2 linked regions of the Canis lupus familiaris genome follow. The protein of the gene in region 2 binds, or shares a complex with, the protein of the main gene of each other region. Links are inferred from orthologs where the notes say so. Each region holds a gene or a part of one and is shown on either strand. Other genes may lie near its edges.

Evidence for each region. The genes of interacting proteins can lie anywhere in the genome.
Region 1: the proteins of TLE6 (region 2) and OOEP are in contact, whole or in part, in a cryo-EM structure (PDB 8H94), measured with the Mus musculus proteins. The link is inferred for Canis lupus familiaris from reciprocal best matches to the Homo sapiens genes TLE6 and OOEP. Residues at the interface, in NP_444484.1 of Mus musculus: Trp256, Ser258, Phe304, Thr305, Arg306, His307, Val318, Asn320, Val322, Asn323, Glu332, Ser333, Asn354, Ser355, Arg356, Leu373, Ala374, Ala375, Pro376, Ser377, Leu378; in NP_080756.1 of Mus musculus: Arg32, Pro33, Trp34, Trp35, Pro37, Gln39, Glu40, Glu67, Trp70, Met71, Gln73, Gln94, Pro95.

The regions. Positions count from the first base shown.
Region 1 is NC_049233.1:35,686,870-35,689,936, forward strand, and holds OOEP (oocyte-expressed protein), read right to left. Parts: upstream 1,897-3,067; 5' UTR 1,843-1,896; coding exon 1,653-1,842; intron 1,287-1,652; coding exon 1,107-1,286; intron 741-1,106; coding exon 661-740; 3' UTR 602-660; downstream 1-601. UniProt on the Homo sapiens protein: Component of the subcortical maternal complex (SCMC), a multiprotein complex that plays a key role in early embryonic development.
Region 2 is NC_049241.1:56,637,512-56,641,828, reverse strand, and holds the start of TLE6 (transducin-like enhancer protein 6), read left to right. Parts: upstream 1-1,516; 5' UTR 1,517-1,539; intron 1,540-1,594; exon of another isoform or gene 1,595-1,708; intron 1,709-1,746; exon of another isoform or gene 1,747-1,871; intron 1,872-1,963; 5' UTR 1,964-2,048; intron 2,049-2,272; exon of another isoform or gene 2,273-2,302; 5' UTR 2,303-2,330; coding exon 2,331-2,399; intron 2,400-3,081; coding exon 3,082-3,137; intron 3,138-3,520; coding exon 3,521-3,566; intron 3,567-4,317. UniProt on the Homo sapiens protein: Component of the subcortical maternal complex (SCMC), a multiprotein complex that plays a key role in early embryonic development.

The DNA.
Region 1 (3,067 bases), on a different chromosome or scaffold from region 2:
CTCTGTGTGTCTCCAATCGATAAATAAAATCTTAAAAAAAAGAAAGAAGGAAATGCAAGTTCAGGGGCCTGTGCTTGAGGGCCTGACTCTGGCCATAAAATCATATATGGGTTAAAAAAAAAAAAAAAAAAAAAAAATCATATATGGGTTACCAGATTCAAAATGGTAGAAGCACGGATGCCTGGGTGGCTCAGTGGTTGAGCGTCTGCCTTTGGCTCAGGCAGTGAGCCCGGGGTCCTGGGATCCAGTCCCACACTGGGCTCTGTGCAGGGGGCCTGCTTCTCCCTCTGCCTATATGTATCTCTGTGTGTCTCTCATGAATAAATAAATAAAATCTTTTTTATAAAAATGGTAGAAGAGAAGACAAAAATAAAACCACTACCTATCAGCCTTTTACCCACCCCTCACATCAAGACATGAAGGAACAGAATCAATCTTTTGCTTAATTTTAAGTGAGTAAAGATCTTTATGCCCTTGGACAAAAAGGAAATTCACTTCTTTACTAGAATGACACTACAAACAGACTTTTGCACCAAAATAATCAAAGCATTACCCATCAAGACACAGGAAAAAAAAAAAGAATGCAGAGACTTATGGATACTTGCTTCTCTTGAACTTTAGTAGAAGTAGGGCTGCTTCTCACAATGCTCCTGAAAATACTTATGCAACAGGATGCTCAGGAGTTTGGGGACCTGTCCCACCAGTCTTCAAGAACTCCTCAAGTTGTTTCATCTTCTCAGCTGGATAAGGAAAAATGCTTTCTGTTCCAAACTACTCCATCACTGAGGGGAGTAGGGGAGGAGGGAAGATGCTAGCAGCATCACTTCTCAGGTGGGGGCTCTGAACAATCTGGAAATAGTGGTGAAACCAAGCTGAGGGGGCATGGGCAGTGACGACAGGCCTGAATGTATTCAATTTCCGTTTACTTTCCCAAGGTCCTACTTGGACTCCTCTCTACAAAGGGATGCCCAGGGGTTGCATATAGAACACTGCAGTTAGGAAACTGCAAAAAGTTTTGTTAAGTAATAAAGGTTGGAAGAAAGCCTGGTACCGCCAGGTGGTTCACCGGGGGCTCCCTCCACATGCAGGCTTTTAGAGACCCTCACCTCTGGCACGATGTTTCCGGTGCCAAGATGCCAGGCTCAGGAGCACGCTCTTCACCCGATTTTGTACACGGGGCCATCCGAAGATACTGATTTCAACTAAGTCTCCAGAGTTAACTACGTCCACCGTCAGCAGGACTTGGCTCATCCACTCTATTTCTGGAATTATGGCTCGGTCTGGGCCTAAACAGGAAAAGAGAGACTCTGAAGGGAAACATGGTCGGGGGGCAGCCCGGGTGGCTCAGCGGTTTGGCGCCTGCCTTTGGCCCAGGGCGTGATCCTCGATCCGGGGATCGAGTCCCACGTCGGGCTCCCTGCATGGAGCCTGCTTCTCCCTCTGCCTCTGTGTGTGTGTGTGTGTGTGTGTGTGTGTGTGTGTGTCTCATGAATAAATAAATAAAATCCTTAAAAAAAAGAAACATGGTCGAAGGTGAGTAGGAGCTAGGTTTGAAGGGAATGTTGGCCGGGGAAGGAAGGTCGGCATCGTGGAGTCTAACGTGGCCTGCAAATCCGGCAGAGACCGTAGAGTTGCTCCGCGGGGTCTCTCACCGAAGATGGCGTCAGCCAGCCACGCCTCCAGGTAAAACACCAGTGGGTCTCTCAGCTCCTGCACTGGAAACCACCAAGGCCGGGTGCGAATCCGCGGTGGTGGAAGTGGTGCCCGGAGCAGCCTGTCCAGGGACCAGGCGGGCCTCCATTCGTCCCCCAAAACTTCAGCAGCACCCGCGTCGTCGACCATGCTAGGTCCGGCAGCCCGGGAAGAGAAGGGTCCAGACAGCGCCGCCGGAACACCAGGGAGGCACGAAAGCTGTGCCCCCTTTTACGGTTTCCGGCCAGCCCCGCCTCTTCCTGTGGCCCCGCGGGCGGTTCCGGGTGAACGGAACCCCGTTCGCTTCCGCGGCAGTGGCGGGCGGGGCGCCGGGGAGCCAGCCCCCACCCCCGCCCCGGGGCTTCCTCCTGGTTCTGGAACCTGCGTGCGTGTGAGCTTGCTTGAGCCGTCCCTCAGAGGCTACCTGGGGTCGTCTCCAGGTAGGTGAGTGAGACATCACCTGGCCTCAAAGAGCCCTGCCCAGCGCAGAGCTGATTGACAGCGCGGCTTGACTCGGAGGCCTCGTGACCCGGAATCACTTTTCGTGCCTACCTTACGGCTTCTGCTTCACCTTCCAGAGGTGGGTGGGCAGGTGGATCAGGCGGAGGGCAGGCTCGTCGGGTCTACATTTTCTCCCTTCTCCTCCCTGTTGTCTCCCAACAATGTGTTTGGTTACTACTTCAAAATCATTCAAGCAAACGTGTCGTGTTTTGAAATAGAAATGTCAGAGGTGGAACATGTAGGAACTATAGACCGATTCCGTTGTCTTCAACATCCTAAATCAGCTAGTGTTGATGTACATTTCTGCCCAGTATTTTTAATTTTATTTATTTTTTAAAATATTTTATTTGGGATCCCTGGGTGGCGCAGCGGTTTGGCGCCTGCCTTTGGCCCAGGGCGCGATCCTGGAGACCCGGGATCGAATCCCACATCGGGCTCCCGGTGCATGGAGCCTGCTTCTCTCTGCCTATGTCTCTGCCTCTCTCTCTCTCTCTCTCTCCGTGACTATCATAAATAAATAAAATAAAAAAAAATTAAAAAAAATATTTTATTTATTTGAGATAGAGAGCAAGTGAGAGAGAGAGAGACCATGAGCAGGGGGGAGGAGAAGAGAAAGGGAGAAGCCGACTCCCCACTGAGCAGGGAGCCTGCTGGGGGCTCCATCCCACGACCCTGGAACCGTGACCTGAGCTGAAGACAGACGCTTAACCAACTGAGCCACCCAGGGGCCCCTCAGTGTTCTTAATTTTAGTCAAAAATTTAAATTATGACAGATTTCACACATTCAAAAAGTTATATAACAAATACGTATGTAACAATCCCCACCACCATCCCCATTTGACAAGAAGCTAACATTTTCCCACCTTTGCCTCAC
Region 2 (4,317 bases):
TTTTAATTTAAATAGCCACAGGTACCCAGTGGATCCCGTGTGAGACAGACAGCCTCGGATAAACTGGTGTGCCCAGCAACCGCGAGAGGAGGAGAGCCAAGTGCACAGAAGGAGGCAATTAGCAGGCTGGCCCATAAATAAAATACACTTCAATTAAGGGCCAGTGGAGGGATCATGGGCGAAAACCTTTTTTGCGGCTCACACATGGCAGCCCTCACTTCCCCTCCATACGCCAGCCACAAAACCCAAGTTGTGTGTTTACATTACAACCTCCAGGGGGGACTGTGCATCCCGAGATCTGAACCCCAGGGTGCCCCTACCCCAGACAAAGCACAGAAGAGGGGCCAGCGGAGTGTTCTCGCACTCCCCTGGATCCCAAGCCAGCATACCCACCCGGGCAGGGGCAGGCGGGCGCCCCGTGGCCCGTGCGAGAATGTCTGAGAATCCCATCAGCAGTTACCTGAATTTTGAACACAGCAGGACTTACAGCCACTGAGATTACCACGAGATTAGTGCCAACTCAAACCACATTTGGAGAAAAATGAAATAAAGGGAGGGTGGGGGTGGTGTTGGAAGTTCATTTTTAAAAGAGATGTGAGGGGAGACCTGGGGAGGTGGTGACCTCGGGGTAGACTGCTCAAGGAGGGAGCACGGTCATGACTGTCAGGGGGAGACTAGTCCCCGTGGAGGAGGAAATGGTTAGTGCAAAGGTCCTGGGGTGGGCAGGACCACAGCACACCTCCAGTAAGCATTGCAAACCGGGCCAGAGAACAACTCTAGAATCCCTAGACACCCCCCTACCGCCCTCATCCCTTATCTTTCTATCATCCCAGGCCTGGAATGCCCACCACCACCCCTTCCTACCCTGGCCTTGAAGCTGGAAAAGTTGTACCAGTTTCAAGGCCTCTGCAGCCCCTGCTTTTGGTTCTCAGATCCTGGGCTTGGGGAACAGTTGGGAAAAATTCACGACAAAAATTCAGAGCCCAGGACTGGGTGCTGGATGAAGGGGAGCTGTTTTCCCCATTAAGGGGGCTTGAAGCTTCGCTTGCACTGCCCGTCATTCATATCGAGGAAAATGTTATCAGCCCCTATCCGGGAATTGGGATGAAGGGGAAGGATTCGGGTCCCCTCTCCCAGCACCACCTCTCACCCTAAACCACTCCGGGGCGTCGCCAAAACTGATCAGGCTTTTCACCAAACAATGCAACCTCACACCGCCCAGCCCCTTCCGGGGTTGCGCCCTGTGACCCCAAGCCCCACGCCCTCCTTAAATATCCTCGCCCCCGCCGGGACCCCAAACCGCCCGCGGCTCTGCACGCCGCCCTTCCCCACAGCTGTAGCGCAAGGGTTAAGCCGAGGCGCCGGGAGCGCTGATTGACAGCCGGGCCGGCGGCTGGGGGGAGCCGACCAATCAGCGCGAGCGGCCGCGGCCCACGTGGGCAGGCGGCCTCGCGATTGGCCAGAGCCTGCAGCGGCCGCCCGCGGAGTCCGAGCCCACGTGCAGCGGCTGCTCCTTCATTGATCGTCCTCGTGGTGCAGGTGGCGGCGGGCGGGGCGGGGCCGGGGCGGGCGGGGGCGGGGCCTGGGCGGGCCTGGGCGGGGCCGGGGCGGGGCGGGCCGGGTCAAAGGGCCCCGGGAGGAGGGGAGACGCGGAGGGGCGTTCTCTCCGGGCCTGAACTTGGTTGACCCCCCGCAGTTTCGTCCCGGGGTACTGGGCCTCTATCCTGGCGGGGGAGGGGGGAGTAGGCGGGCGGGCCTCCGGGAGGACCTCCGCGCCCTCGGGCCCGGGGAGGAGGCCCGGACGCCGCTGAGGGCCAGAAGCCAAGCAAAGAAGGGGCTTAGGGCCGGAGGAGTGCCTGGGGTGGAGAGAGGTCTCTTTCCTCCTGTCTGAGAAATCCCTCCTAGTTCACCTGGCCGACTCTTACTCATCCCTCAAAACCCTTTCCCAATGATGTTTACCCAGGCTCTGGGAAGTTGTCTCAACACTGAGGCTGAGTTTTAGCGTCCTTCCCCGGGGTCCCCAGCGGTGACAGCTCCTGGCAGGGAGTGTAAGTGTTTGGCACCGTCAACGTCCACCTCCTGGAATGACGCTCCTATGAGTTGGGGCTGGTGGAGGCAGCAGAGTTTGACAAATGAACAAAGGGTATAGGGCATGCAGTGGGGGGCCGGAAATCAGGGAGGGGGCTTGGGATCCAGGCCTGGGGCCTGCAGGGGAGGCCAAGGGTGGGGTGGGGTCGGTTCTGCCCCTGGCTGCCCGGCCTTCTGCCCTCAGGGACCTGCCATCTCCCCTTGGGAGTTCCAGGCTAAAGTCCTTTGGCTACTGCCCGAAGATGACGTCTTGGGACCGTCTCAGCCGCCAGCAGCACCCTCCAAGGATGAGGAGGCCCCCAGGAACTTTGGTGAGGAGAATATTAACTGCGAGGGAAGGGGGCTCAGCTCAGACCTCACTCTCCTGCTCCTGAGGGAGGGACACGGGCGGGTGGCCAGGCCTTTGGCTGGGGCCGCTGGCCCATCATACCTGCTGACAGGTGCCAGGCCACTTTCTTTTTAAATTGAACCTGCTTCTCATCACGCAGGTGATCAAACACATGCCTACGTCGTCTCTGGTTAATACTTTGGGAACAGAAGCCCCTCCTCCTCCAGAGAGGACCCTTTACAGTAGTTGAGGCCGGGGTGGGCGACCTTTCTCTCTCGAGGGCTCTCCAGAGAGTCTGTATTTGAGACTTTAGGCCAAGAGGCAAAACGGGAGAAACTCCGTGGGGACTTAAGTAACCAGAGAAAGCAAATTCCCTTCAGGTTTGGGTTTTTGCTTTTTACGATTTTATTTATTTGAAAGAGAGCAGAGAGCACAAGTGGGAGGAGGGGCAGAGAGAGAAGCTGACTCCCCGCTGAGCAGGGAGCCCACGTGGGGCTGGATCCCGAGATCACGATGCTCTCCTGACTGAGCCCCCCAGGTGCCCCTCCCTGCAGGTTTTAGGCGGGTCCCAGCCCACCCTCTGGGGGGCTGATTGGAAATGTGGCCTGAGGGTGGGAGAGCGGGAGGCGGGGGTTCATCTATACAGCCTCCTCTGACCTTCCCAGGCTCCTGAACTGAACTACCACAGTGTCCTGGGTCAGCTCCGAGAGCAGTTCCCCAGGTGAGGGTGGCTCTCAGGGGCCCACGTGGAGGGGGAGAGACTCCCACCTGGTCTCTGGGTGGCCCAGCAGCCCTTGGTCCAAATGACGGAACTTGGTAACAAAGAGCCTTATTGGAGCCTGAAGCAAAAGGAAAGAAGCACCATTACCAATCCGGGCCTTCATTTGAATTTTCTGGTTGTCCTTGTGTTGTTTAGCATGAATTTTTTTGCACCGATTATAGGTTTAAAAACATTGCAGGGAAACGGCATCTCTGATGCCGCCTTGGGGTGGCTCCTTGGAGGGGGGTGCGCAGGGGCCAGGCCTGGGTGGGGCAGTTCTGGCTCTAGTTCTGCGGAGGGGTCTTGAGGGCTCTTCTTCGGTTGCTTCCCCCCCCCCCCCACAGGTTATCCCCTCACCTGGCAGCGCAGGTGGACAGCATGTACCACACGGTGAGCCACCCCGGGCAGCCCCCAGGAGCCGGGCTTGGGGACACGGTCTCCTCCACTTGCTTCTGCTTCCTTGGGGCGAGCAAGGTCACCCGTGCAGGCCAGCTTCTCCAGGAGCGTTTTTCCTCATGTGTGCACACCTCGCTGCCAAAGTTAGACATTCCATATTTAAAGGAAGGGTTTCTTTGGCCACTCATCATTGAGGGATAGGTAACGGGAGCCCCTGCTCATGAGGAGTATATGCGCTGGTGTGGTGCTGGTCTTCTAGAACCTTCCGCAACGATGGGAATGTTCTATACCAACAGTACCCAATATGACACCCACTGGCTGCTTGTGGCTGTTGAGAACTTGTAAAGACTGACTTTTTTTTTTTTTAAGATTTTACTTATTTATTCGAGAAAGAGCAAGGGAAAGAGAGCACAAGCAGAGGTGAGAGGGAGAAGCCAGACCCTGAGATCATGACCTGAGCCGAAGGCAGATGCTTAACTGACTAAGCTCCCCAGGTGCCCCAGGAACTGAATTTTTAACTTGATTAAATTTAAATAGCCACACTTGACTAGTGGCTAGCTCCTTGGACAGGGCACCCCCAGGGCGAGGAGAGAGATAAGAAAGCAGATCACAAATCGTAACCACTATAAAGGAAACAGAAGATAATGGGATGGAGTGATACAGATACTGAGCTAAGCTAGTCAGGAAGGGCTTCTTGGAAGAAGTGGTGTTCACAGGGAGATGTGGAAGATAAGGAGGTCCTGCC